Linked DNA regions of Ovis aries. The protein of the gene in region 1 binds, or shares a complex with, the protein of each later gene. Links are inferred from orthologs where the notes say so. Each region holds a gene or a part of one and is shown in the gene's direction. Other genes may lie near its edges. The genes, in order: KRAS, SOS1, RGL1, PLAAT3, MAPKAP1 and RGL2.

Region 1 (4,051 bases):
TTAGAAGGACAGACCTATGAGCAGAGACTCAGATGGGTGGTCCTACTAGGTATAAGCGCCAGTCTGCCAGGCCTCAATTTTAAAAAAACACTCCCCCAAACCTTTATAGATAGTTTATCAACGCAGACTCTGGGCATACTAGAGTTATGTTTAATTGTTTCATTGTTTAACGTGCTAACTCCCCGAACGTTAACTGATTAATCTGTCTTCTAATTAATGTTTGAATGATTCTCCTCAAGTCTAGACTATTAAGGGCACTTCTATTTAAAAATAGTCTGTCGTCTGCTTGTACTGTCAGGTGCCATAGGTATATCTGAGGTCGCCGTTTTGAGTGACCCGCGATGGCTTCGAAATATACATAAAAATAACAACAGAAAACAACAGATCCGCCGCTCCCTCCACCCCCCCGCCCCCCGCTTAATTAGTGGTGAAAGATTTTGTCGCGTTTGTCTGGGCTTGGGGCTAGCTCTCAGCCCCCGATTGTGGAGACTGGTAATCATCCAGGTGTGCTCAGAAAGCTCCGGGCCAGGGAACTGGCGGCCAGGTCTCTTCCGAGGTCCCCCAAGTTGCCTCCTACTTTGGGTGACTGCATGTTTATTCACTTGCAATAAATGATTGTAAATGAATGTACCCAAGTGCAGGCCGACCCCATGGGTGGCGGGATTTTCGCAGCTCCACCGTGTGGCCCCGACAGCAGGGCGGCGCTGGCCTCGGCATCGCCGGGGTACCGAGCCCGCGCCGGCCGGGGTCCGAGGCTGCGGCTCTTGGCCTGCCCTGCGGCTGGAGCCTGGGGGCGGGCCCCGCGTGGATCCGCCGGCGCCCCCACCCGCGCGCGCCGAGGCACCTCCCAGAGCCAACCTCTCTGCCACTACGCCGGCCGCGCGTCCCCACCCTCCACGGCCCCAGCCGCCCGCTTCCTCCGCCGCGCCGGCCCCCGCTCCTCCTCCGCCGGCCTGGTCCGCCCCCTCCCCGGCCCGGGCCGGCCCCCCTCCCTCTTCCCGGCGGCGCTAGCAGGCTCGCTCTTCCCTCTTCCCACATCGCCCTCAGCCGCACTCCCGTCTGGAGAGGAATCGAGCGCCGAGCGCATCGATAGCTCTGCCCTCTGCGGCCGCCCGGCCCCGAACTCATCGGTGCGCTCGGAGCTCGATTTTCCTAGGCGGCGGCCGCGGCGGCGGAGGCACAGCGGCGGCGGCGGTGGCGGCGGCGGCTTCGGTGGCGGTGGCGGTTCGGCCAGTACTCCCGGCCCCCGCCATTTCGGACTGGGAGCGAGCGCGGCGCAGGCACTGAAGGCAGCGGCGGGGGCCAGAGGCTCGGCGGCTCCCAGGTGCGGGAGAGAGGTACAGAGCGGACCACCCCTCGCGGCTCCTGCCGGGGTCCCGACCCTCCTCGCCGGCGCCGGGCGGGGCCGGCGGCGAGTGAATGAATTAGGGGTCCCTGGAGGGGCGGGAAGGGGGCGCGGGTGCGGGGCCTGGGCGGGCGGGCCGCCGGGCGGACGGGGCCGGTTGGGGGGGCGGTCTGCAGGGGGAGACGCGGCGACGCGGGGAATGAGGAATGGGCGGTGCGGGGCTGAGGAGGGTGAGGCTGGAGGCGGCCGCCGCTGGGGCTGCTTCCTGGACGGGGAACCCCTTCCTTCCTCCTCCCGAGAGCCGCGGCTGGAGGCGGCCGGGGAGAAACTCGCGGGCCGGGCGGGCCGCCCCTCTGGGCGGTCGGGTGCGGTGGAGGTTACTCCCGCGGCGCTCCAGCCTCCCCTCCCCCTCGCCGTCCTTCCCTCACCCTCCTCTCCGCTCCCGCACCTCTTCTTCCCTTCCTAGTACTGGGCTGCCTCGGTTGCTGCCTTCTCTGCTGCATCTCTCATCTCTGGGACGAAGGTATAAACTTCTCCCCCAAGCGCAGACTGGACGGCTTGTGGTCCTTTTTCAGTGTGTAGGGCGGATAGAAGAGTTAAGAGGTGAGGTCGCCTTTTGGAAGCGCAGGGGAAAGTGCTTAGAGACCACTGATGGAGGTTATTGTGTTTGGAAAAAATGCATCTGCAGCCGAGTTCCTGACGGCTCCCCTCCCCCCCGTATGGGCTGTGACATTGCTGTGGCCACAAAGGAGGTGGTGGAGGTAGAGATGGTGGTGAAAGAACAGGTGGCCAACACCCTGCAACGTAAAGCCTGGACTTCGTGTAAAGGAAAAAGTTAATCCCAGAAGGTCTGCTTTGCTTTGTCAAGTTAAAACACACACAGCAAACCCGCACGGCAGAAGCAGGGCTCTTTCCCTGCTAGTTGAGTGTGAACAGCGGTAGTTAAAATTGCACGTGAAGTTTAATTTGCCTGTTTTCCTTTCCCCCATGCCTTCTGTATTACCCTTATGCGTACAAATTGGACCCCCAGCCCAGGAGTTATTACAGTACTCCTAAACGGTTCCCAGGCCTTTTTTTTTTTTTTTTTTCCAAAAGCGACCTACAAGAGAAGTTAATTGTAGCAATCTGCCAGCCAAGTGCCTGAAATACTCTGAGGCATGTGCATTGGTGCAGGTGAAGTCCTAAACTGGCCTTCTTAAATCTTGATATCCACCAAAACGAGTGGTTAAGAACAAAAACGCATTTTCTAGTTTTTACTTACTATACATGTTACATTTGTAATGAAAGAAAAAATTGTTCAAAAGAAATTACAAAGGGAAAAAATTCTGTTCATAGTCATCATCTCAGAATCAACCTTATGAGTGATGTCATTCTTAGGTGACTAAGGTCCAAAATGCTGACTCGAATGTGTAGTGGACTAGAGACGTCAAAAATGGTTGATAGCAGTACTGTTTACCTTAGACTGTATCCGTCCACAGGCATTCCTGGTTTTAAGAGACAGTAGATGAAGTGATAATTCATTTTTTTTAATGGTCAAAAAAATGAACATTTTTTGCCTGAATGAAATGCTCAGTTCTGGTCCCAGTTCCACCCCTTACTAGCTTATGTAGCTTTGGACACGGAGAACTCCTTTGGCCTGTGATTTTCCATGGCAACCCATTTCTCTCTAGTGGATTAAAGAAACTTGATTTTTGAAATCCAAGTGAAAGATTTTTTTCAGAAATAACCACTGCATAAAAAAGTAGACCAGAAAGTGTGTGGTGTTGAGAATTCACATGTGTATCTGCAAGCTAAGCACTAATCCAGTATTTGTCCACAGTCTCCCCTAGACTGGCTCACTTACTGGCCATAAGGACTCTTCAAAATTACTGAAGATCCCAATGTGGAGTGTGTCAGTATTGCCACAACAGAAATTAGAATGGAGAATTAAACTATTAATTCATTTTAAAAAGAAATAATTAGCCCTTTACTTGGTAACAGAAATAGAATATTTAATGAAAAGTAACTGTTTTCCAAAACAAATGCAACAGTTAGCGAGAAGAGTGGCATTGTTTCACACTTTCACTAATCTCTCTAATTGTATGGCTTCGTAGAAGATAGCTGGATCCTCATAGCTGCTTCTATAGTCAATGTATTGTGATCACAGGTCTGGAAAATTCTACTGTATATACTTGTGAAAGAATAAGAGTGGGAAGGGTACATCACCTCATACCATTATCATCAAACCAGGTTTTACCTCTTGGACCCTCTCCAAAAGTCTTGGGAACCCTGGTGGGTTCCTATACCACATTTTAAGAACTACTCTTCTAGGCTATCCAGATTTTATTGGAGGGGTGGGGTGGCAGGGAACTAGAGGATATGTTTTGGTGTGATTATCCTCACCTATCACATTTGCTAATGCCAATATTAGGAATGAAAAGAGGGAGCAAAACAGGACATAATGCATGTTGGCGGTGGCCCTAGACAAGCCTGGGTGGCACAGAGCAGGCCCATGAGGAACTGTGATACAGCAGTTGCTGGGCCTGTCTGCTCTTTGGGAATGGGTTCAGGAAGTAGAGCCAGAGCAAGGATGTGGTGGGGTGGTGGGGTGCGTACTGGGAAGATTCTTGGTCTTCAGTAAATGGGATGCTGCATGTGTATGATGTTGTATAGTATATCTGCACTTTCATTAATCTGGAACTACTTACCGTGTAGTACATTCTTGAA
Region 2 (3,500 bases), about 110 Mb from region 1:
TTTTTGCTTTGGCTTTAAAAATTAAACCAAATGTAACCTTTCCCTGCTAAAACTCGTCTTGGGTCTGGCAGCATTGGTGCCTTGCTTTGCAGCATCTTAGAAGTGAGGCCTTCACTTGTACTATCTTTTGATCATAAATGATTTGCTTAAACTTATATAATTCTCATGCTTTTTGTAAAACCTTTCTTCTCTTTTGAAACAACATTATTATATGGGTGGCTTCCACATTTAACCATTTCTCATTTCCAACTTTGGAGTTCTAATGCCCAACTTAAAAAAAAAAAAGGCAAGAGCATGCATGCGCATATGGGAATGTTGGCAGCTACATGCAGTGTCTTAAGTCACACAATACACTTAGGCTGGGGACAGCACAGGCTGTAGGCAAATGACTTATTTGACTTTAGAACAGCTGTCTTATCACTGTGACTATCTGTATTATACAACCTAAATATTCATCACTGACAAGCAAAATAAAGTTCCAGTGTAGGTATTTGTTTTTAAAGTACTAACAACTCACCAACTATCCCATAAATTTTAAGCCAATAGATTGTTTTTTGCTGTCCTTCATACAAATGATTTCAGAATGTATGCAATGGAAAATAGTGTTATAAGCTAACTTACAAAGTTTCATAAGAAGAAAGGTAGGTGATCAGAATGTTGCTTATTTAAATAATATCAATACACAAAGTACTCTAAGTTCTATCTTATAACATTTAATTGACAAAATTTAAACTGTCAGTGTTTAAAGGAAAGAAAACCTGCCAAATACAATTTTGAATGATCATTTAAGTGTTTTTTCACATCTTTTTCATTGTGCTGATGTACAGGTTAACTTACATTAATGTTTTTCAAAGTGTAGTTATTTATATGCCTATATTAAGCCCTTATCATAAATGTTTGTAAGATAGGTTACAATTAGAGGCTTTTACTTACCTTTTTAGTGCCAGTTCATCAGTTTACTCCTAAATCAGGTTCACTAGATTCTAGTGTAATTTCTGTTTTTATTATCAGCATAGCCTCAGTCATTTTAAATGTGTTCATCACAATGAAAAATTTTGGATTAGAATGTGATGAACCTGACTTTGCTTCCCCACCAAGGAGAGCTGATACCTAAGCAAACTGAAGAGATCCCTCCCCAGGACAGGATGGCAGGGAGAGACATTGGAGAGAGTGGTTAAGAACAGAAAGTATTCCCAAAGACTATCCAGTGAAGGCAAGGAAATTCCATACTACTACAGTCGTGGTGGGGGCGGGGTGGGAAATGAACCCATCATAAAAGGTTAACAAAAATTACCATTCCAAAAGTTTTTAATAGTTTGCTCTCTCCCAGAAAATTCCAGTAATAGATTAACAATGGAAATGTTACTTTCTTCAAGAAGTGTAACAACAGAATAACTTAGACAGCTTTTTCTCTGAAAACTCTGCTGAGAAATTTCTGCATGCTTTTATAGCAGTTTGCTTTAATAAAGGAAGTACTGTTGGGTGTTGCTTTATTGTACTGCTTTTGATACTTCTGTACATTTCTTTTAATAAATATAAGCAGGATTGATGATATAAAATTCCTGTGAGCTTTTCAAAATTGTACCATCCTACAGGATCTGCTTCAGTATCATCTATAAGTTTAACCAAGAGCACTGATGAAGTGCCTGTCCCCCCTCCTGTTCCTCCACGAAGACGGCCAGAGTCTGCCCCAGCAGAATCTTCACCATCTAAGGTAAAGTAGAACATCTGGTTATCTGGAGACTGGAATCATTGCAGTTCCATTATAATCAAGTGCTCATCTCTCATTGAGTTCTAACGGAATGAGGTTAATACTCAGGGTACTGGGGCTTAATAGAGTTTAAACCAGAATTAAGTATGGGTTTACCATTCAGTAATGTTTATTTCCTTTCTTCTGAAAGCAGTTTTCTGGTAGGTTTTCAAAATACTTATAAATCTAAATATGGGTACTGTCAAAAAAAAACCCCACAAGTTTAACCTATAATTTAAGAGTAATGTAGTCTCAAGCAGTTCTGTAAAAAGATAGAAAGAGATCTGAAGCTGTATATGAAGGCACGTTTTAAATGAAACTGTATCTCAGTGCTAAATGTTACATATCTAAGCCTGTAACAGGTGAATTTGACAGGCTGTGGGATTTTCATGAAAATTCCAGGTCAGAAGAGACCTTAACAGCTCATAATAGCTATTTTTTTCCTACCTGTTTAAATTTCTTTCTTTGCCAACTTGTTAACATGATTCGGTGGTATCAAAGTGTCCAGAGAGCAGAGCACCTAGGCAGGGGAAAACTCTTTGCAGAATACCATGAAATGCTATTATAGTAAATTTAACATTATAAAATTGATAGGTAACATGCTAAATTGAAATGATTTTATATTAGATTGAGTGATAGGTAAGCAGCAGCAAACAAAATTTTGAGAAGAATAAAAACTTAACATTGAAGGAAAAATAATTTTTTTAATGGATGAACTGCCATAACCTCCAATTTAAAGCATATGGCAAAACTCCCTGATCCACACCTAGAGTTCTTCCAATAACGTATTTGAAAACCCAGCTTAATTCTTAGTATATTCATGGTGCTACATATGTTGTTAATAAATGTCTTTTTTTCCCCATTTATGTTAGATGATGTCTAAGCATTTGGACAGCCCCCCAGCAATTCCTCCTAGGCAACCCACGTCAAAAGCCTATTCACCACGGTATTCAATATCAGACCGGACCTCTATATCAGACCCTCCTGAGAGCCCTCCCCTATTACCTCCACGAGAACCCGTGAGGACACCTGATGTTTTCTCAAGTTCACCACTACATCTCCAACCTCCCCCTTTGGGCAAAAAAAGTGACCATAGTAATGCCTTCTTCCCAAACAGCCCCTCCCCCTTTACACCACCTCCTCCTCAAACACCTTCTCCTCATGGAACAAGAAGGCATCTGCCGTCACCACCATTGACACAAGAAGTGGACCTCCATTCCATTGCTGGGCCGCCTGTTCCTCCACGACAAAGCACTTCTCAGCATATCCCTAAACTCCCTCCAAAAACTTACAAAAGGGAGCACACCCACCCGTCCGTGCACAGAGATGGACCACCACTGTTGGAGAATGCCCATTCTTCCTGAGTTCCTCTGGATCAGGATGTACATTTTCCTAGCCCCAGATCCATTGCTGGCGATGGATGCACTGAACGTGCCAGCACTGAGGAGTTAAAATGAAAACTCCAAACACTAACGACTCTACTTCAAGATGCAGTCATAAGACAATGAATTTTAACATGGACATAATTATAAAGTGAGTATGGAAAAGTTGATCTAGAGGAAGTGGACAACTGATTTCACCGGAAAATCAAGTAAAGGAACCTTTTGCCAGCCAGTAAGCAGGAGTCCTCTTTTTGTGAAGTGATCTTTATCATTAAAGGGATGGAAAACAGTCTAGTATCCAGCAGGCCCACATGATGACAGTTTTTGTAATTCAAAATATTATGCACTTTTTAAAAAGAAATCTTAAA
Region 3 (4,272 bases), on another chromosome or scaffold:
CCAAATTCACAGCCAAAAATCAGGTTAAAGTAGTTGTGAAATTAATCTGATGGGTTGTTTAACTGTCCCCAGGTTTATCTTGTGTTCTTCAGGATCACTGAATAGGGGTGCTCCTGGAATGGCTTAAGAGGCAGGTGGTAGGTCTTCCACACCATTTTCCGCTGGACACTGGGGACACGCTATGCTGGTGGTCATTGAAAGGTCAAGTTTACATGCTTTCGTAAAAATAGAAATAATCAAAGCTTGATAAAAAGAGCATCCCTTCTGTCCAATAGTTTGTGGTGGTTTGTGGGGAACTTTGCTGAGTGACTTCAAGAAGTTCTGAAGTGTCCAAAGATCTTTTTATTTTTCCTGGATGCACCCTCACTGTCATTTATTTTTGCTTTCCTGGGAACACCAGTACACTGAATTCTCTAGCTTTTCAGTTCATAATACATTTATTATTAACCAAAGCCCAGCCTTATGCCTCGGCATGGCAATTAGTGAGAGGCCTTTCTTTTAAAAAAAATTTAAAGGCTATTAAATTCATTTAGGGGAGAACAGTATAAAAGACATGAGCGCTAAACTTTTTTTTTTTTTTTTTTTTTGCAATTGGCATGGAATTCTGTCATGTGCCAATGTTTGATTATATTATCATCTGGAATTTCGCTGTTGATTTACTTTCTGTTAGGACAAAACTCCCTCCGGCAGTGTCCTCCGAATGGCTCTCTCCCCGAGGTTATCATCCCACGGTGTCCCTACAGTACAGACAACTCAACCCATGGTGACGACTCACAAAGACTCACGGAACCTCCGGGCCGCCGGTGGCCCAATTTCCACGCTGTCAGTCTCAGCAGAACTCTCTCCTGCTTTGCCCCTTTCCCTGCCACAGTGGCCAGTTACAGTTGATGAGCCTTAAACTATGGGGGGCTAGAAAGACGTCCAGAGGCATTTCCTGTTGGTGGTGTGCTGGTTCAGAACAAGCGCATCCTTGGGGCGTGGGTTTTGGAATACCCTCTGACCAATTCTCTCTCTCTCTCTTTTTTTTTTTTTTTTTTTGTGTGTCCTTATGAAAAGCTTGCTGGCTTCTAGTACTGCCGTTCTCACTGGGGTCGCCCTTATTGAATCTAAATTCCATAGGTAACAAGCAGATAATAGACGTTTATCCGACCCCCTCCTCCCATCCCTTTTTGCACCGCTTCCCCCTTTATTTCTTTGAGCGAAGGAAGGAAAAACACACTTAGATCCCCGATACCACACCCGGATCTTTTGGGGGCACCTGGTGGCCAATCAGGAAAACCTGATCCACTAGCAAGGGTGGCTGGCTGCCGATCGAATTCAGAGCTGGAGAAATCACGGCGTGCTAACTTTATCCGCGGGATTTCAGAAAGGGAGAGTGTGCTCCCGAGCACAAACAGGAAAGCCTGACATCACGGAGCGGCGGGGTGGCGTGGGGAGGAGTCTGCGGCGCCCTCGCTCGCCGCGCTCCCTTTGTGGCCGAGTCGCGCGCACCGGCGGCGGCGGGCGCGTGTCTGTGCTCCGTGCGCGGCGGCCGCGCGGGGCCGGGGCTTGGAGGCGCCGCGGCGGAGACGCGCGGGGATCGCGTTCGCCTGGGAGCGGGGTGCATCATGCCGCGTCCACACACCGGAGAGAAAACTGAGAATGAAATTGCTTTGGCAAGCTAAAATGGTAACGAGAACTCTTTGCCTTCTCCCGACGCTGCTCTGGTGGGGAATCTTCTCCCGCTTTCTCTGGGCGGGTTTTGGACTCCCTCGGAGTGAACGGAGCCATCCGATCCCAGACTTTGGAGCTCAGAGCTTTCTCTCTCGGCTTTCTCCGCCTTCCTCTTTGCGTGTCTTCTCCCTTTAAACCATACTTATTTTTCTCAGCAGTTGCCTTTGGTGTATCTGGGCTGATGTATGTCAGCAAAGAAAAACTTTTCAGGCAAGAGGTCTGTGAGTCTGGGTGAACCGCGGAGCGCCTCTGAGTCCCAGCGGCTCTTTAAACACAAACTTCAAGTTTAGGGAAATCCAGGGGGTCGCTGCACGCAGCCGATGTGTTGCTTTTTTTCTGCACTTGCCAGGTTATTTGACGGAAATAAAAACTTTTTCCCTCCCGCTAACTTTCTGGGTTCCCAAACAATAAGAGGAGAAAAAAGACATGCGAAGCATTTCGTTCCAAAGGAGCGAGCACTCTTAGCATTTTAAACACTTTTTTGTGGCAGAGTTTAAAATGCAGTTTGCTCCAAGAACGGAGCCACTTGTAAAGAGACAAACTTTTTCTGCCAGTGAATTCTTTTTCCTCTCATTTAAGGAGGAAAAGTGAACCAGGACTAAACTTCAGTTTCTTTAAGAAAGAAAAAAAGACTTTAAAAAGGTATTTAAGATAGTGAAGGAGCCTAGGAAAAATAACTAAATGGAAAAGTCCTGGGCTCTTGATAGCATAGCAAAGGGCTGGAGGGCCAAGAAAATCTCAGTATTCCCTCTATCACAGTGTGTCTTATGTTGCCCTGATTGTAATATTTATTTTGAACAGCCCATCTTATGCCCTGAGTGCTGCTGTAAGCAGCAAAGCAGCTGGGATAGATTGGTTAGCGGAGAGGGAAAAAACAGACAAACAAACAACTTTTTCTGTTTCTTTGTCCTGTCTCCTGGCAGAGCTCGATTCAGGACTGGGGTGAAGAGGTAGAGGAAGGAGCTGTTTACCATGTCACCCTCAAGAGAGTCCAGATTCAACAGGCTGCCAATAAAGGAGCGAGATGGCTCGGGGTGAGTAAAGCTGGGGAGACTGTGAGCCTTGGACTTGCAGGGCCTCTTGCTCTGTGAATATCATTATTATTTAGCAGAGGCAGGTTTTTTTTTTTTTTTTTTTTTTCCCTCCATTTCTTCTCTTTTGGCCTTAAAAAGGAAACTGCCAATGAGCAAGTGTTTGCACTAGCCATACCGGTCTGGTTTTGTATTTATTCTTTGCCGAAGCGTCTCCCTTAGGTTTGTCAATAATTCAGAACCTCTTAGAAACATCTTGAGGTATTTGGAGAGTAGAGTAGGGTGGAGTGGCAGAAAGTAACATAGATTAACAGGATCAGCAGATAGCACCGAGTCAGACAAGAGCCGTTTTGCCCCGCTGCCATCCTTTTCTCTTTGTCTCCCCCGCTTTTGATCCTGACAGCCCTTCTCCCACTCCTGTTCCTTGACCAAGTACCCAGAATGCTCAGGGGCGCTGATACTCCAAATCGGCCTCCTATGGGGGATGGCGCATTTCCCACGGTTACATCCTTTACACGGTATGTAGTGTCCACCACTTTATGCGTCCGGTGCGTGGAGGGATGGGGCTTTGGAGAAACACTGCTTCCATAAACAACATCCCCCACCTCCCTCTGCTGAGATTTTAAAGCATTGGGTGAGAGCATGTGAGTTATTCATTATCTGCTTAATGGATAAGCAGATTCATTATCTGATTAATTCATTATCTGATTAATGGATCCTTCAGCATATCCCAACTAAAGGGGCTGTGGGAAGCCTGGGCAGACATCATCATGTGGAAGAACGAAGGAGTTCTTCATCTGGAGGTAGAAGGAATCCTCCGAGAACAGTGAGGTGACAGAGAGCCTTGAGAAAGAAGATAGCTGTAAGCCGAACAGAGGGGACGGAGTGTGGTTTCCCTGGGCCTTATTCTGGCCATACTCAGGCCTCACAGCTGATGGGCTTGAGAACAGTGAAGATTATGCACTGGCATCCAATCTCTACTGGTTTTGGATTTCAGAAAATCCTTTTTTTTTTTTTAAATTTGATCAACAGTCAAAGGTCAGGTGCGAAAGAGGACAGGAAACAAAACTGCCCAGGGCTTTAAGACCAGAGGCAGCATGTGACTTGTAATTCCTGGAGTTTAAGGCAGGATGGCCAACAGCAATGATTTCCTCTTCCGTGGGTCTCCTGGGTTGCTGACACAGGCATTCATTGCTTTGGGCTTCCCCAGCTGCTTCAAGTCAGGCTGCGTATTTGGGGTTGAAGTACCACCCTCTAGGGCAGTCAGTTGTTAGGTGCATCTGCAGATATGGCCTAGAAAGGTAGGAGCTTTTCCTTTGAAAGCCTGAGGTCTTCACTTATTAAGCAGGTACCTTACTCGGAATATGATTTTGGAATTAATTAGGTGCATCACCAGCAGACCTGATAGGAAAAACAGAACTAGAGTTCTGACAAGTCATCACTTTATTTTTGGTGGTTGGTTGCGTGTATTGCATTTTATTTAAATGCTGTATTGATGTGGTTTGGCCCAAGTATTTCAAAATGATTC
Region 4 (3,994 bases), on another chromosome or scaffold:
GGTGGATTCTTTACCACTTGAGCCACCTGAGAAGCCTGTCTGAGAGCAATGCTGTGTATATTTTTATACATTATCTTACATATTGTACAATATCATCAGCACTCCAGTTTGCAGATGAACAAACTGAGGCTCAGAGAGGGAAGGGTGCTCTTGACCCTGTAGGTAGCCAGGTTCAGGATTTGGCCTGATTCCAAGCTCAGTGCGAGCAGCTAAGGGTCAGGAAGTAGTGGTATACCAGAACAACTTTTACCCCTGCAGAGTCACAGCCCAGTGCACAAGAAGGGCCTGTGTTTGGTCATTCATTCCTTCATTCATGAAATGCCTACCATGTGCCAGGTTGGTGCCAGATTTGAGGGACATCTGATGGCTTGGGACCCAATAGTTAAAAATACTTCCTCTCTGCTAGGCCCTTGCCTTTAAATGGCCTTAAAATTTAATATACAGTGCCCCCTTATCCTAAGAGGATGTGTTCCCAGATCCCCAGGGAATGCCCCAAACCGGAAGTCCAGAACCCTAAAATAATCTCAGCTTATCCATAGTTCTGTCTCTTCTTGTTTTTTTTTTTTTTTTTTTTTACCCAGCAGAGGGCAGATAGAGAACTCGTGGATAACGGAGGTCTGCGGTAGTTTTAAACCACAGGATAAGCCCACTTGAGGGGATGAGCAAACTGATTACTCTGCAGTGCGATATGTATAGATAGGTATGCTGCGGCTGCTGCTAAGTTGCTTCAGTCGTGTCTGACTCTGTGCGACCCCATAGACGGCAGCCCACGAGGCTCCCCCATCCCTAGGATTCTCCAGGCAAGAACACTGGAGTGGGTTGCCATTTCCTTTTCCAATGCATGAAAGGGAAAAATGAAAGGGAAGTCGCTCAGTCGTGTCTGACTCTTCGCGACCCCATGGACTGCAGCCTACCAGGCTCCTCCGTCCATGGGATTCTCCAGGCAAGAGTACTGGAGTGGGGTGCCATCGCCTTCTCTATAGATAGGTATACGAGATCTTAAAATATTGCGCGGGGGTGGCCCCGAGCTGGGTTTTCGGGGCTCCTCTTCTCAGGGTAGTGTGTGTGGAGAGGGTTCGCGGTGAGCGGAAAGCATCCTGGCCTGTCTGCCCCAGAGGCCGGAGCAGGCTGTCCCTGTCGCCCTGGGCGTGAGCTCTGCGAGGCTCTAATCAGCCACACGGGGAGGGGCCGGGTGACCTCATGCGGGCCTGAACTCTGCGGCCATTTAACTGGTTCCCTTCCTGGTGGAGGCCGCTACTGCCTTCTAAGTTCGCGAGGTGGGTGGAGCAGTAATCCCAGCTCGTAAGGAGGGTGAGACGCTTGGGGTGGCTCTCCCGGTGTCCCAGGCTGTGTGGGGGATGGAGGACTTGGGTGAGACCGGAGTAAACAAGTTAGTTCGGTTTAGCTGAGCGCAGCGGCCGGGAGGAAGGGCCGCGCGGGCGCGGCGCCGCGGACTTTCTGGGGCGCGGCCGCCAGAGCAGGTGACACCGACCGCGCTCCCCGCCGCTGCACCGCCAGCCTCTCCGGTATCCGGTGAACCTTCCTGCCCGCCCTGCGAGGGTTCATGGCCAGGTGCAGGGGTTGGGAGGGGACCGGCAAGGAACTGGAATGGAGTGAGCCGGTCGTTGCGCGAGAATTTGGAGATCAACTGGGCACGGTCTCCTCCGCCAGAAGTCACTGGCCCCTGGGGTCTTGGGGACACGGTTTCTTGTTACTGACGGTGACTCCCCTCTCCCTCCTGCCTCAGGCATTTACACAGCTGATAAAGTCAACTCCAGCCTGAAATCGAGGGCCGCCATCACCCAAGAAGATGCGTGCACCCTTTGTAAGTAATGCGGCTGTGCGTGGGCTGGGGGTGGGGGCCGTGTCTGGGTCGGTCTGAGTCATCAGAGAAGGGGTCCTTGAGGATGTTCGGGCCACACCTCCATTGGCCGGTGAGGTGGGCATCAGGCGTGAGACGGTCAGTGGTTAGAATTGTCCTAGTGTGAGTACTTGTATGGTCAGGTCCTGTTTGCCTGAAACAGGAGCCGGGGAAGGCAGGGCCAACCGGAGCTGGGAGGCAGCAAGGAGAGACTTGCTCCGCCAAGGTCCTGTCTGCCTTCCTGAGTCAGACCAGAGCACCTGGAGGGGCTCCTGGAGCAGCATGTCTTGGCTGCACCTGCTGCACCCACCCCGCCCCCACCGCCTGGGTTTAACCACAGGGGCATTTTTCTGGCCTCAGCGGCGCCCTGCCAGCAGTTTCCCAACTTTCACTTTTCCTATCTCTAATCTGTGATGTGGTTCAGAAATCATAAAGGGGCTTAGTACATGCTTCCTTTCAACCGATCAGGACCCTCTGCGGAGAGGTTCTGAGCCCGGCTTTTGAGGAAGACACCCCTGGGATCATGTTCACCATCCTGTTCCCTAGCTGTGGCACGTTGATCACGTTTCCAGTCCCAGAGTGACGATTATGTGACTTAATACTTCTGAAGTGCTCAGAACGTGCTTTGCACGCATATTAAGTGCTCACCTGTAATTCATTGTTCTGATTATGATTATGGTTTAATCCGTGTAAAGAGCTTAAGGCATGCCTGGTATTAGGGTGTACCTGGCATATTTGATGCCGGGAGTGGTCATTTAAAAACATCCCTCTTCGTTATCTAACAACATTGTTTTCAGTAATAATCATGAAATAAATATTTAGTAATGGCCGGAAAAGAAACACAGTAAAGTTGCTTCTGTTGAGCTTTGTATATGAAATCACGCCAGTGGAAAAATAAAAATTGAAAAGTAGGGTAGATGTTATAGAGAAGAACGGGTTAATAGTTAATAGAAGAATGGGTAATGGGTTAATAGTTTTTAGTTGCATTAATGTAATTTAGAAGAAAACTTGTTCTTAAAGTTAGGTTGGTTATACTCATGAATAATGACAACATTATAGTTTCTGTTTTGGAACTTCTTCTGAAAAGTTGTCCTTGACTTTGACAAAACTGATCTTCTTTGCATATGCAACTCTCAGTAGAGGCAGACTTGTCAATCTGTCTTGGCTCACAGTTGATTGAAGAACACTTTTTATTAATTTCAAAAGCTTCTCTCATATGAAACAACAGATATACAAATAGGAAAAGCCTTAAACATTAGAATCGGTTTGCCAGAGATTAATAAAAATCCCATTTTGTAATAAATTCCAGAAACTGCAATGCTGCCTATGTCTTAAAAAATTAATTCTAGTGGCTTTTATTTTTAATTTATGTTTGTTGATCTCTAGGTTTTTGGTTTGTTTGTTTTTTGTCTGTGCCGTTCAGCTTGCGGGATTCAGTTCCCTGACCAGGGGTAGAACTCAGGCTTTAGGCAGTGAGATCAGAGAGTCCTAAGCACTGGACTGCTAGAGAATTTCTGATTTTTTTATTTTTCTTTTTAAAATTGATTTTATTGGAGTATAGTTGATTTATAATGTGTTAATTTCTGTTGTACAATACAGTGATTCAGTTATATACATATACACACATATATTCTTTTTAATGTTCTTTTCCATTATAACCTATCACAGGATATTAACTATAGTTCCCTGTGCTATACAGTAGGACTTCGTTGTTTATCCATTCTAGTGGCTTTTAAATATATCCACATTTAAAACATTTTGACTAAAACATCTTCACCAGAAAATCCATCATAATTTTTTATTTGGTAAAACTCTCCCCAGTTTTTCTTCTTTGGCAAAAATCAGAGAAAATGGCTGAATGATGGTGAACTTTGACATTTATTTAGTCCATTGCTTTAGAATGAGAGTTTAGTTCCCAGTGAAATTGATTCAGACTTTCAGACACTTCTCTTTTAGTCTCTTTTCTTCTGGTGCTGGGAGCGCAGACGCTTGTCTTCTGTTTAAACACAGGAAAATGTAGAGAGGGATTGGTAGCCCAAACTGTCCTGAAAGTGAACTTGAACCATTCTGAGCCATTCAGAACTTACTGTTGGAGCAGACACATGGAGCTGAGTCTGTGTGTGTTGGAGGTTA
Region 5 (4,221 bases), about 180 Mb from region 1:
GGCTGCAGTCCATGGGGTTGCTGAGAGTTGGACAGGACTGAGCAACTTCACTTTCACTTTTCACTTTCATGCATTGGAGAAGGAAACGGCAACCCACTCCAGTATTCTTGCCTGGAGAATCCCAGGGACGGGGGAGGCTGGTGGACTGCCATCTTATGGGGTCACACAGAGTCGGACACGACTGAAGTGACTTAGCAGCAGCAGCAGCAGCAGCAGCAGTAGCAGCAGCAGCAGGTGGGAGTGGTAAAGGATCTGCCTGCCAATGCAGGAGAGGCATGTTGGATCTCTGGGTTGGGAAGATCCCTGGAGGAGGAAATAGCAACCCAATACAGTACCCTTGCCTGGAAAATCCCATGGACAGAGACTGAGCTACTTCCCTTTTACTTTACACTTTCATGCATTGGAGAAGGAAATGGCAACCCATTCCAGTGTTCTTGCTTGGAGAATCCCAGGGATGGGGGAGCCTGGTGGGCTGCCATCCATGGGATCACACAGAGTCGGACACGACTGAAGTGACTTAGCAGCAGCAGCACAGTACCCTTGCCTGGAAAATCCCATGGACACAGGAGCCTAGAGGGCTGCAGTCCTTGGGATCCCAGAGTCTGACATTACTGAGCGTGCATGCATGCCCGCTAAGGTCCCCCCGAGGTGAAATTCAGACTTGTTTTTTTCTTTCTTTTGCTAAGGTGCATTTTTAAGAGAGACTTTCCAGATCATCTCTCAGATAGGAGAGGTATCATATCATTGCACTGCTTTCCCCTTAGTAGTAGCGTCCCCACTGATTCCCTGAAGACAGAAAGAGGGGGAATAATGAGTTCCTGTTTGGGGCGGGTCCACACATCTCATGGAACTCCCTGAATTCCTGGGATGATAATTACCTTCATTTTACAGAAAATAAGAATAATGACTAACATTTACTAAGTTTATTAAGTGTTGGGCACTGTGCCGAGTGTTTTTAGAGCATCATCCCACTCGATTCTCACAGCAGTACTCTAAATTTGGAACTACTCGATGGATGGGTCAGAGAAGGGAGTGTTTTGTCCTAGGACACACAGCAAGTTAGAGCGGGCATTTGAACCAGCTCTTCCTGATTCAAGAAACTAAGCTCCTCATCGCTCATTTCTGAAAGAACTGAGGGCTTTTCTCCGTGGACGTGGGGAGAGAGGAGGAGGTTCGACGGAGAAGGCTGACGTGGATTTCTAAACAACGCAAACCTCGAAGTCTCCGTGTTTTGCCAGTATCCCAGCTAATCTCTGACCCAGGCCTTGCCTGGGGGCGGGGAAGTGGTGCGCGCGCACGGCGTCCCGTTCGGCCCCGCCTCCCGGGAGGGCTTCCCAGCCCGCTCTCGGCTCTGGGGCTTGCGCACTACGTCCCCAGCCAACGGCTGCTTCCCAGTCGGGGACTTCCGGTGCGCGGGGTGCGGTTCCGGGTCGTGGCGCGGCTCGGGGCAACGGGGCTGCTGCTTGGCCGGCCAGCGGCAGCGAGCGGCAGGGGTATGAGGGCGAGTCCGGAAAGCGGCTGGTGAGCCGGCCGGGAGGAGCGCCAGTCCCTGAGGATTCCGAGAGTGCGGAGCTGGGGCAGGGACCGGGGGGCGCGGGGGAGCCGGGCCCTCCCCCCAGGAACGTGTCCCAAGGCCATCCCGGCCCGTAGTGTGGCAGCAGCTTCAGGTAAAGGTTGCCCCAGCCGCTAGCTCCATCGCTCACACCCCCGCCAGCCCACCGAAGGAGCCTGGCTTCCCTCCTCACTTCTCCGCGCTCGCCGCCGCGGGGCGGACAGCCTGTCTGGCCCTTGCTCCAGTATCCAGTGAGCATCCGTTTCCTGGCCCTTTCCAGAACTGAAGGCTGTTATGAATCTGACAGCTTGGGAGTGTGATTTGGGGGAGGAGAAGCTAGTGGACTCGGTAGTATCGGGGTTTGGGGAGGGTACTGTTGACTGACAGTTTCTGGTTCTACTCGGTGTCTTAATCTTCATAACATGAAAATCAGGTTTTTAAAATCATTGCTTGTGCATTCCCTGTCTAACGCCCCTTATCTCCATTGCCCCAAAGGAGTAAAACAGCCTTTTAGAACTGTTTTTTTTTTTTTAATAGGCAGAGTGCTGCTGGAACTTTGATTCAGCCTTTTGTTTATGGGAGTGGCATAGAGTCTTCTAGATCTGGTTAAGGCTGGAAAAGAAAATATCACTGTAGTTTAAACAGAAGCATTACTTTAACCGGAGGCCCAAAAGTTGACTCAGAGATTGGCACAGGTTTCATTCTGAATGAAGTGATTTTTGAAGCCTATCACAATACTTGGTACTGTGCAAAAGCATCATGTTGTAAACCAAAAGCAGCAAAGTTCAAAACTTCCTCAGGTGTGAACAGTCAAATGGAGACAGGTGTTTACACACATCAGTTAAAGTAAAGTCAACATTCTTACTCTGTTTTGACAAGCAGAAGGGATGGATTCCTAATGTAGAGCAGCAGGGAAAGGAGGCACCATGTTCTATTCTTCATATTCTGTGAGTTCACACAAGATGATCAGTAAATGCTGGAAGGGTTGTTGATGAAGGATCGATACTTGTTTTCATCTTGTTCAGTTTACACACTTGTAGGCTTATTGGGGCCTGTGAGACTTGCTGGTGGCTCCTTTCCCTTTCAGATTTATGCTCATACTTACTTTCATCTACCGTGATGCTGGAGGGTATTCAGATTCCTGATCTGGTTTCTGATCTGGCTCCGGCTAACTTTCCAGCTAAGCTTCAAAAGGCCTCTTACCCTGATTCTTCACTCTAGATAAGTAGGACCTGGAATGGGCTTTGTCCTTTCCTTTGTTGTTAGCACTTTCTTTATGCCTAGATTTCTCCTTTCCTATTTCCATCTATTGGTGTTACCCAGCGCCCACCTGAAATTGGCCTTGCCTCAAGCAGTTCAGCACAACCTCAGCTAGAAATGGTTTCTTTTCTAGAATCCTTTAAATGCTCATTATTCTATGGGCTTGGCCACAAAGTTTGTTTGGGTTTTCGTACCATCGTCCAGAAAAACCTGAATGAACTTTTTGGCCAACCCAGTTGATTCCCTTAGCAAACATTGAGTATGGATACATTCGAGGTCATCTGATGTGAACAGCTGACTCATTGCAAAAGTTGCTGATGCTGGGAAAGATTGACGGCAGGAGAAGAGGATGTCAGAGGATGAGATGGCTTGAATGGCATCACTGATGCAGTGGACTTGAACTTGGGCAAACTGTGGGTGATCGTCAGGGACAGAGAGGCCTGGCATGCTGCAGTTCATAGGGTCGCAAAGAGACACGACTGGGTGACTGAAAAACAACAACATATATCAAGTACCATGCTAGACCATATAGGGAGAAACAAGACTCAGTTCTTGCCTGCTCAATTTAGTGAAAAAGATAGGAAATAATTCTGACAGAGTGGTATGTACACTGGGTTGGAGTTCTTTCGGTGATTCAGTGGTGGTACAGGAGGGGAAGAGGTCATCCACTTTTGAGGCATGTACAATGACCTGATAAGGCTTCACAGTGTGGGGTATTGGAGAAATTATGTTAGGTTTCTTTTGTTTAATTATTTTAACTTCAGTTCACTGATCAGGAGGGCTCAGGATAAATTACACACCTGGTATGAGACGGAACCAGGATGCAGACCCACGTGTGTCTTATGCCTATATCTGTGCCTTTTATGTGTTTTTTCTTTTCTCACACCGTAGCTCTCTGTATGCAAATACATATTGAAGCAACTATTCAGAGAAGAAAATATGTGTCAAAATGAATGGTGCAGATAGTTCTTTAAATGTAGAGAAGACCATAACCTTCCAAGGCAAGATGGTAGTATGTGGGTCAGCCTAGCTTTGGATATGAGTGGACCGAACATTCTGTAGAGAATAGCCATGGACTCTGACTTCAATTCTTGGTCCCTCCTCTTAATAGCTATGTGACCTTTGGCAAGTTTCTTAATTCTTAGCATTATTTCTTTCAAGTATAGTTTGAGATAGAGACTGATAGACTTCACGGAGTAATGTGAGCTGATGTGGATAAAGTGCCTGGTATGTGGCAAGGTTCCCTAAGATGGTGGCTGTTAAGCTGTAAAGGTGCAGTGCCTGAGGCATGGTTTTAGAGTGGTGAGTAGACCAGCCTGAATAAAGCAAGCCTTTGCTTCTTTGAGTGGGGATGTGTGTATGTTAGTCCCTCAGTTGTGTATGACTCTCTGTGACCCCATGGACTGTAG
Region 6 (3,974 bases), on another chromosome or scaffold:
AGAGTGAGGCCAGCTCAGCACCATCCTGGGGAAGCCACCATCCTCTCCGGTCTAAGCTACTGTAATAACTCCCCAAACTGTATGCCCTCTGTTCCTGCTCCCTCCAGTCTCTCTCCACTGAGCCACTGGAATGCCTCCTGAAAAGACACTAGGCAGTCACCTCCTTAGGACTCTAGAGCAGCGGTTCTCAAAATTTTTGGTCTCAGGATCTCTTAAAAATTATTAAGGACTCTATAAAGCTTTCACTTATGTAGATTATAAGCCACAGATACTTACTGTACTGTTCTCAAAACTGAGAACAATACACAGAAAGACACAAGCACACGTTCCGTTAGCTGTGGGGACGATGTCAGTACACGTCATGTAGCTTCAGGAAAACGCCAGTGTAGGTTCTTTAGCGAACCGAGAGTGAAAAGGCAAGTACCAGTTTAGGATTGTTATGAACATAGGCGAAACCTCACGTAGCCCTTGAAATAGTCTCAGGGACCTCTGGGACAGGAACCGGTGCTCTAAAGGCCAAATCCATTCTTTTCCTGCCCTGACTCAGTGCATCCCTGCGCTCCAGCCACTGCGCACCTTTTCAAGCCCGCTTAGCGCTCTCCCGCCCTCCTTCCCGATGCTCATTACACCTAAAGCTGACCCTTTTCTCCAATGGCCTCCCACTCCCTCTGGGTCCCAGAGCGTTGTTCTCTCTGCCTGGGCTACAGACCAGGTCAGCCTCGCCCCCTCAGACCGCCGCGTGTCCCTCTAGTGCGGTTCACCACGGTTGTATTTAAGTGATTGTGCGAGTCGTTGTTAAAAGCCTGCCTCCCTGCCCGGACTGTTGGCTCCTCGAAGGCTGGGACGACCCTGTCCTTTCCCTGCGGTGTCTCCCGCGCCTGCACCAGGGCCCGCTGGAGGGCGCTCAATTTAAGAAGTTACCCTTTTTTCGTCCGAAAGATTAAAATATGTGTTGAATCAAATAAACTACTGGAAGAAGGAAGCAGCGGCTCGGCTGAGGGGGACCTTCGAGGGCCAGGTCGGTCGGACGCAGGGTGCGGGTCTAATCGTGTGGGAATAAACTCGTTCCAGTGTTTTCAAAGGGACGTCTCAGTTCTACCTCAGGGACCCTCTTTCCAGGCGCTGTGACACTTCCACTCACGCGTGGTTCCTTCTCACGGCCCTGCCTCTAACGCCTTGGCGGCACCCGATGCCCCTTTGGAAGGGACTGAAGCCGGGCGCCACCCACGGCCGACAGCGTGCCCTCAGGCCGCGGGCACTCGCTGGTGTCCAAGGCTTCGGAGAGGCCGGCCTCGGCGCCGGAAACAGCCCCCGGCGCGCGCTCTGGGACCGGAAGTGGCGGCTTCCTGCCCCGCCCACTCCCGAGCCGGTGGGAGCCCCGGGCTCCCCGGAAAACCCGGAACGGATTTTGGTCCGCTACACGCGTGGGTGGGGGCGGAGTGGAGCCCCCGCGGCCCGGAGAAACTGGGTCCGTCCCCCGTGACACGCTCCCTGCGGGAGTTTTAGCCTCGCGGTGTGCGAGGAGCGGAATGTCAGATTCGGCTCTCGCCCTTCCCCGGGGGCTGGAAACGGGAATCCCTGTCCCCACTCAGCGCAGGGCAACGTGGGCTCCAGGATCCCCGAGCACAGTCGGGCTGGAGACCCGGGCTCCTGGGTCCCGGCCCCCAAGCGTCCGGCGCTCCTCTAAGTCCGCGGCCCTGGCTGCTGTCCTCACTTCCTTCCCTTTTTGGCTCCTGCTCTCGGGGCGGGCGGACGTCGGGGGGGAGCGGAAAGGGCGGGAGGGCCCGGGAGCCTGGCGGGGCGGGGGGGGGGGGCGTACAAGGGGGTGCGGAAAAGCCGGGGACGGGCTCGGTCCGGGGACGTGATCGGGGGCCGGAGACCGACAGGAACGGCAACTCGGGAGCCGCGCTGCCCCCACCCGTCCTGAGCAGGTCAGAGCCAGAGCCCCCTGTAACCCCGCCCGAGCCCGTGCTCCCGACCCCCGTCCACAACAACGCCAGGCCCCGTGTGCCCCTGCAGCGTTGCCCCCGACCCTGCCTCCCCGCGGGGCTCCCCGGAGACTACCTGGAGCCCGCCTTCTGGGGCCCCGCGCCCCCCTGACCCCCCTCCCCGCTCGTCTCTCCTCAGGCGCCCCCATGGCCCGACCCCGCTGACTCCTTCAGCCGGCCATGCTCCCGCGGCCCCTGCGGCTGCTGTGGGACACGAGCCCCCCCGGGGGAGTCGTGCTGAGCAGCTTCCGGAGTCGAGACCCCGAAGAGGGTGGGGGCCCCGGTGGCCGGGGCGGGGGCGGGGGGCAGGAGGAGGAGGAGGACGACGACGACGACGAGGTGAGGCGCGGGCGGCGTGTGTCCCGGAGACTCTCCCCGCTGCGAGTCTGTGTCCCTGCGTGTCTTCCTGCCTCAGCCCCTGCCGCGCCTCTCGCCGGAGTCGGCCCGTGTCCCCCAGCGGGGAGCCCCGGCGTGTCCGAGGTTCTGTGCGGCACCGACACTCAGGAGCCTGGCCCGTTCCCGCCCGGCGCGTGTGGCTGGCCGGCCTGCGGGTCCCTAGCCCTCTCCGCCCGTGCCCGAGTGGCCCGTCCCTCCGGGCGTGGAGTCTAGGTCCCTGTCTCCCTCCGGGTGTCTGTCTGGCAGGGAGGGGTTTGTTTCCACAGTAACCCGCTCCTCAGACTCCGGGATTGGGGAGGGAACCCTTCTATTTCGTGACCCCTCCCCGCTCCGCCGCCTGGGGCTGGGCGGCGGTGGGGAGCCGAGGCTCTCGGACCGTCGAGGGCCGTCCCAGGCCGAGTGGCTGGTGGTCACCTGCTTCCCTTCGGGGCTAATGGCGTGGCAGGAGTAGGATTCGGGCCTCAAGAGGGGCCGAAAGTTGGATTTGGGGCCCCGAGATTTTGGACGCTCTTGTCCAGAGTCTGAGTGAGGATTGACTGGGTGACTAGCAGGGCTGGTTTTTCGGGATCGGTTGGGGGAGCGGCCGGGGTCACATGACTCTGTGAGTCTAAACCACCCCCTGCTCCAACACACACACACCGTCCCCACTTCCCCTTCTCCTTCCTGTATTGGGATCGGCGCCGCCGCCCTGAGGGGGGTCTCCAGAGCTGAGGAGGGACCCGGGGAAAGGGGGCTAAGGCGACTTACCCTTTGGGCTTGGCTAATTCCTGCGGGGGAGGGCGGAGCATGAGGTTGTGCCCGTGACTGAGGTTTCAGCTTCTCAAGGTCTCTGCCTCAGGCTTTCTTCCTCTCTTTCTTCCCCCTCCTCCTACCTTTGCACCTTGATTCTTGGCTGTTCACGGTTCAGCTCTGGGGGGGAGGGGCTGCAGCGGTCCCCAGGCTCAGGGTTCCTGCATTCCATCCAACTCCCCACTGCAACCCCTTAGACTCCACCGGGCCCTGAGGCGGCTTGGGGGGGGCTGTCTGGGCCCCAGTGGGGAAGACCTGGGGTCACCAGCCCCCCCCCACCCCTCGTACTCGTTGGTACTGTCCCCCTCCGCAACAGGTGAGGGGCACAGAGGGAGGAGCAGGGCCTAGGGGTGAGGCTTGGGCAGTGGGGTGGGGTGTGGAACCACCTGACCTCCCCTTCCTTGCTCCTCCAGGCCCCTGTGTCTGTCTGGGAGGAGGAGGAGGATGGTGCTACCTTTACAGTCACAAGTCGCCAGTATCAGCCTCTTGATCCCTTGGTGAGATTATAACTTTGACGTCTCACCTCTGACCTACCACCTCCTAGTTCCCCTGCCTCCTGCTGACTTTCTGGCCAGAATACTAGGTTGGAAGTTTGGAGACTGGACTCAGCTGTGTGACTTAGTTCGAGTCGTTTGCCCTCTCTGAATCCTAATACAATGAGGCTGAATCATCTCCTAGGTCTTGGATTTCTCCCAGAGATCTAGCGGGGGAAAGTTGAAAAAAGGGTCAGTGGCTGGCGCTCTGTCTCCCCCAGGCCCCAAGGCCTCCTCTGCGTTCCTCCCGGAAACTCCGAGCTGGCAC

The links.
Region 2: the proteins of KRAS (region 1) and SOS1 are in contact, whole or in part, in a crystal structure (PDB 8BE4), measured with the Homo sapiens proteins. The link is inferred for Ovis aries from reciprocal best matches to the Homo sapiens genes KRAS and SOS1. Residues at the interface, in NP_001356715.1 of Homo sapiens: Ser17, Ala18, Ile21, Gln25, Asp30, Glu31, Tyr32, Pro34, Thr35, Glu37, Tyr40, Asp54, Ile55, Leu56, Asp57, Thr58, Ala59, Gly60, Gln61, Glu63, Tyr64, Ser65, Ala66, Met67, Arg68, Asp69, Gln70, Tyr71, Arg73, His95; in NP_005624.2 of Homo sapiens: Lys602, Trp809, Thr810, Lys814, Leu822, Met824, Ile825, Arg826, Thr828, Thr829, Thr832, Leu833, Leu872, Val875, Ser876, Asn879, Ser880, Ser881, Pro882, Tyr884, Ser908, Asp910, His911, Tyr912, Lys913, Phe929, Phe930, Gly931, Ile932, Leu934.
Region 3: the proteins of KRAS (region 1) and RGL1 are in contact, whole or in part, in a crystal structure (PDB 7SCX), measured with the Homo sapiens proteins. The link is inferred for Ovis aries from reciprocal best matches to the Homo sapiens genes KRAS and RGL1. Residues at the interface, in NP_001356715.1 of Homo sapiens: Ile24, Gln25, Glu31, Asp33, Pro34, Thr35, Ile36, Glu37, Asp38, Ser39, Tyr40, Arg41, Leu56, Tyr64, Met67; in NP_001284600.1 of Homo sapiens: Ile651, Arg653, Asn660, Gly661, Asn662, Met663, Tyr664, Lys665, Ser666, Ile667, Met668, Lys685, Asn687.
Region 4: the proteins of KRAS (region 1) and PLAAT3 are in contact, whole or in part, in a crystal structure (PDB 7C41), measured with the Homo sapiens proteins. The link is inferred for Ovis aries from reciprocal best matches to the Homo sapiens genes KRAS and PLAAT3. Residues at the interface, in NP_001356715.1 of Homo sapiens: Ala11, Gly13, Lys16, Ser17, Tyr32, Asp33, Pro34, Thr35, Ile36, Thr58, Ala59, Gly60, Gln61, Asn85, Asn86, Lys88, Asp92, Tyr96, Lys117; in NP_001121675.1 of Homo sapiens: Leu65, Tyr66, Asp67, Val68, Ala69, Gly70, Ser71, Asp72, Lys73, Tyr74.
Region 5: the proteins of KRAS (region 1) and MAPKAP1 are in contact, whole or in part, in a crystal structure (PDB 7LC1), measured with the Homo sapiens proteins. The link is inferred for Ovis aries from reciprocal best matches to the Homo sapiens genes KRAS and MAPKAP1. Residues at the interface, in NP_001356715.1 of Homo sapiens: Ile21, His27, Val29, Glu31, Asp33, Pro34, Ile36, Glu37, Asp38, Ser39, Tyr40, Arg41, Leu56, Glu62, Glu63, Tyr64, Ser65, Ala66, Met67, Asp69, Gln70; in NP_001006618.1 of Homo sapiens: Phe280, His287, Gly288, Phe289, Ser290, Leu291, Ile292, Gln293, Lys307, Lys310, Arg311, Arg312, Lys313, Gly314, Ser315, Phe363, Glu365, Ile369, Val374, Met377, Leu378, Ser380, His381, Tyr484, Glu487, Ser488.
Region 6: the proteins of KRAS (region 1) and RGL2 are in contact, whole or in part, in a crystal structure (PDB 8B69), measured with the Homo sapiens proteins. The link is inferred for Ovis aries from reciprocal best matches to the Homo sapiens genes KRAS and RGL2. Residues at the interface, in NP_001356715.1 of Homo sapiens: Ile24, Gln25, His27, Val29, Glu31, Asp33, Pro34, Thr35, Ile36, Glu37, Asp38, Ser39, Tyr40, Arg41, Lys42, Tyr64; in NP_004752.1 of Homo sapiens: Ile651, Arg653, Glu660, Asp661, Gly662, Ser663, Val664, Tyr665, Lys666, Ser667, Ile668, Leu669, Lys685, Lys686, Asn688, Arg689.

Annotation. Positions count from the first base shown.
Region 1 is NC_056056.1:190,372,588-190,376,638, forward strand, and holds the start of KRAS (GTPase KRas), read left to right. Parts: upstream 1-1,251; 5' UTR 1,252-1,324; exon of another isoform or gene 1,325-1,337; intron 1,338-4,051. UniProt on the Homo sapiens protein: Ras proteins bind GDP/GTP and possess intrinsic GTPase activity. Plays an important role in the regulation of cell proliferation.
Region 2 is NC_056056.1:85,200,159-85,203,658, forward strand, and holds part of SOS1 (son of sevenless homolog 1), read left to right. Parts: intron 1-1,595; coding exon 1,596-1,714; intron 1,715-2,622; coding exon 2,623-3,114; 3' UTR 3,115-3,500.
Region 3 is NC_056065.1:64,267,797-64,272,068, forward strand, and holds the start of RGL1 (ral guanine nucleotide dissociation stimulator-like 1), read left to right. Parts: upstream 1-1,472; 5' UTR 1,473-1,641; coding exon 1,642-1,668; intron 1,669-2,636; coding exon 2,637-2,747; intron 2,748-4,272. UniProt on the Homo sapiens protein: Probable guanine nucleotide exchange factor.
Region 4 is NC_056074.1:38,443,914-38,447,907, reverse strand, and holds the start of PLAAT3 (phospholipase A and acyltransferase 3), read left to right. Parts: upstream 1-1,194; 5' UTR 1,195-1,277; exon of another isoform or gene 1,278-1,371; intron 1,372-1,378; exon of another isoform or gene 1,379-1,572; intron 1,573-1,747; 5' UTR 1,748-1,810; coding exon 1,811-1,825; intron 1,826-3,994. UniProt on the Homo sapiens protein: Exhibits both phospholipase A1/2 and acyltransferase activities. Shows phospholipase A1 (PLA1) and A2 (PLA2) activity, catalyzing the calcium-independent release of fatty acids from the sn-1 or sn-2 position of glycerophospholipids.
Region 5 is NC_056056.1:10,388,016-10,392,236, forward strand, and holds the start of MAPKAP1 (target of rapamycin complex 2 subunit MAPKAP1), read left to right. Parts: upstream 1-1,421; 5' UTR 1,422-1,667; exon of another isoform or gene 1,668-1,803; intron 1,804-4,221. UniProt on the Homo sapiens protein: Component of the mechanistic target of rapamycin complex 2 (mTORC2), which transduces signals from growth factors to pathways involved in proliferation, cytoskeletal organization, lipogenesis and anabolic output.
Region 6 is NC_056073.1:7,623,825-7,627,798, reverse strand, and holds the start of RGL2 (ral guanine nucleotide dissociation stimulator-like 2), read left to right. Parts: upstream 1-1,174; 5' UTR 1,175-1,189; coding exon 1,190-1,468; intron 1,469-1,819; exon of another isoform or gene 1,820-1,931; intron 1,932-2,127; exon of another isoform or gene 2,128-2,168; coding exon of another isoform or gene 2,169-2,327; exon of another isoform or gene 2,328-2,597; intron 2,598-2,747; exon of another isoform or gene 2,748-3,489; intron 3,490-3,586; coding exon 3,587-3,670; intron 3,671-3,927; coding exon 3,928-3,974. Other genes in the region: TAPBP (tapasin precursor), read left to right, coding at 1-7. UniProt on the Homo sapiens protein: Probable guanine nucleotide exchange factor. Putative effector of Ras and/or Rap. Associates with the GTP-bound form of Rap 1A and H-Ras in vitro.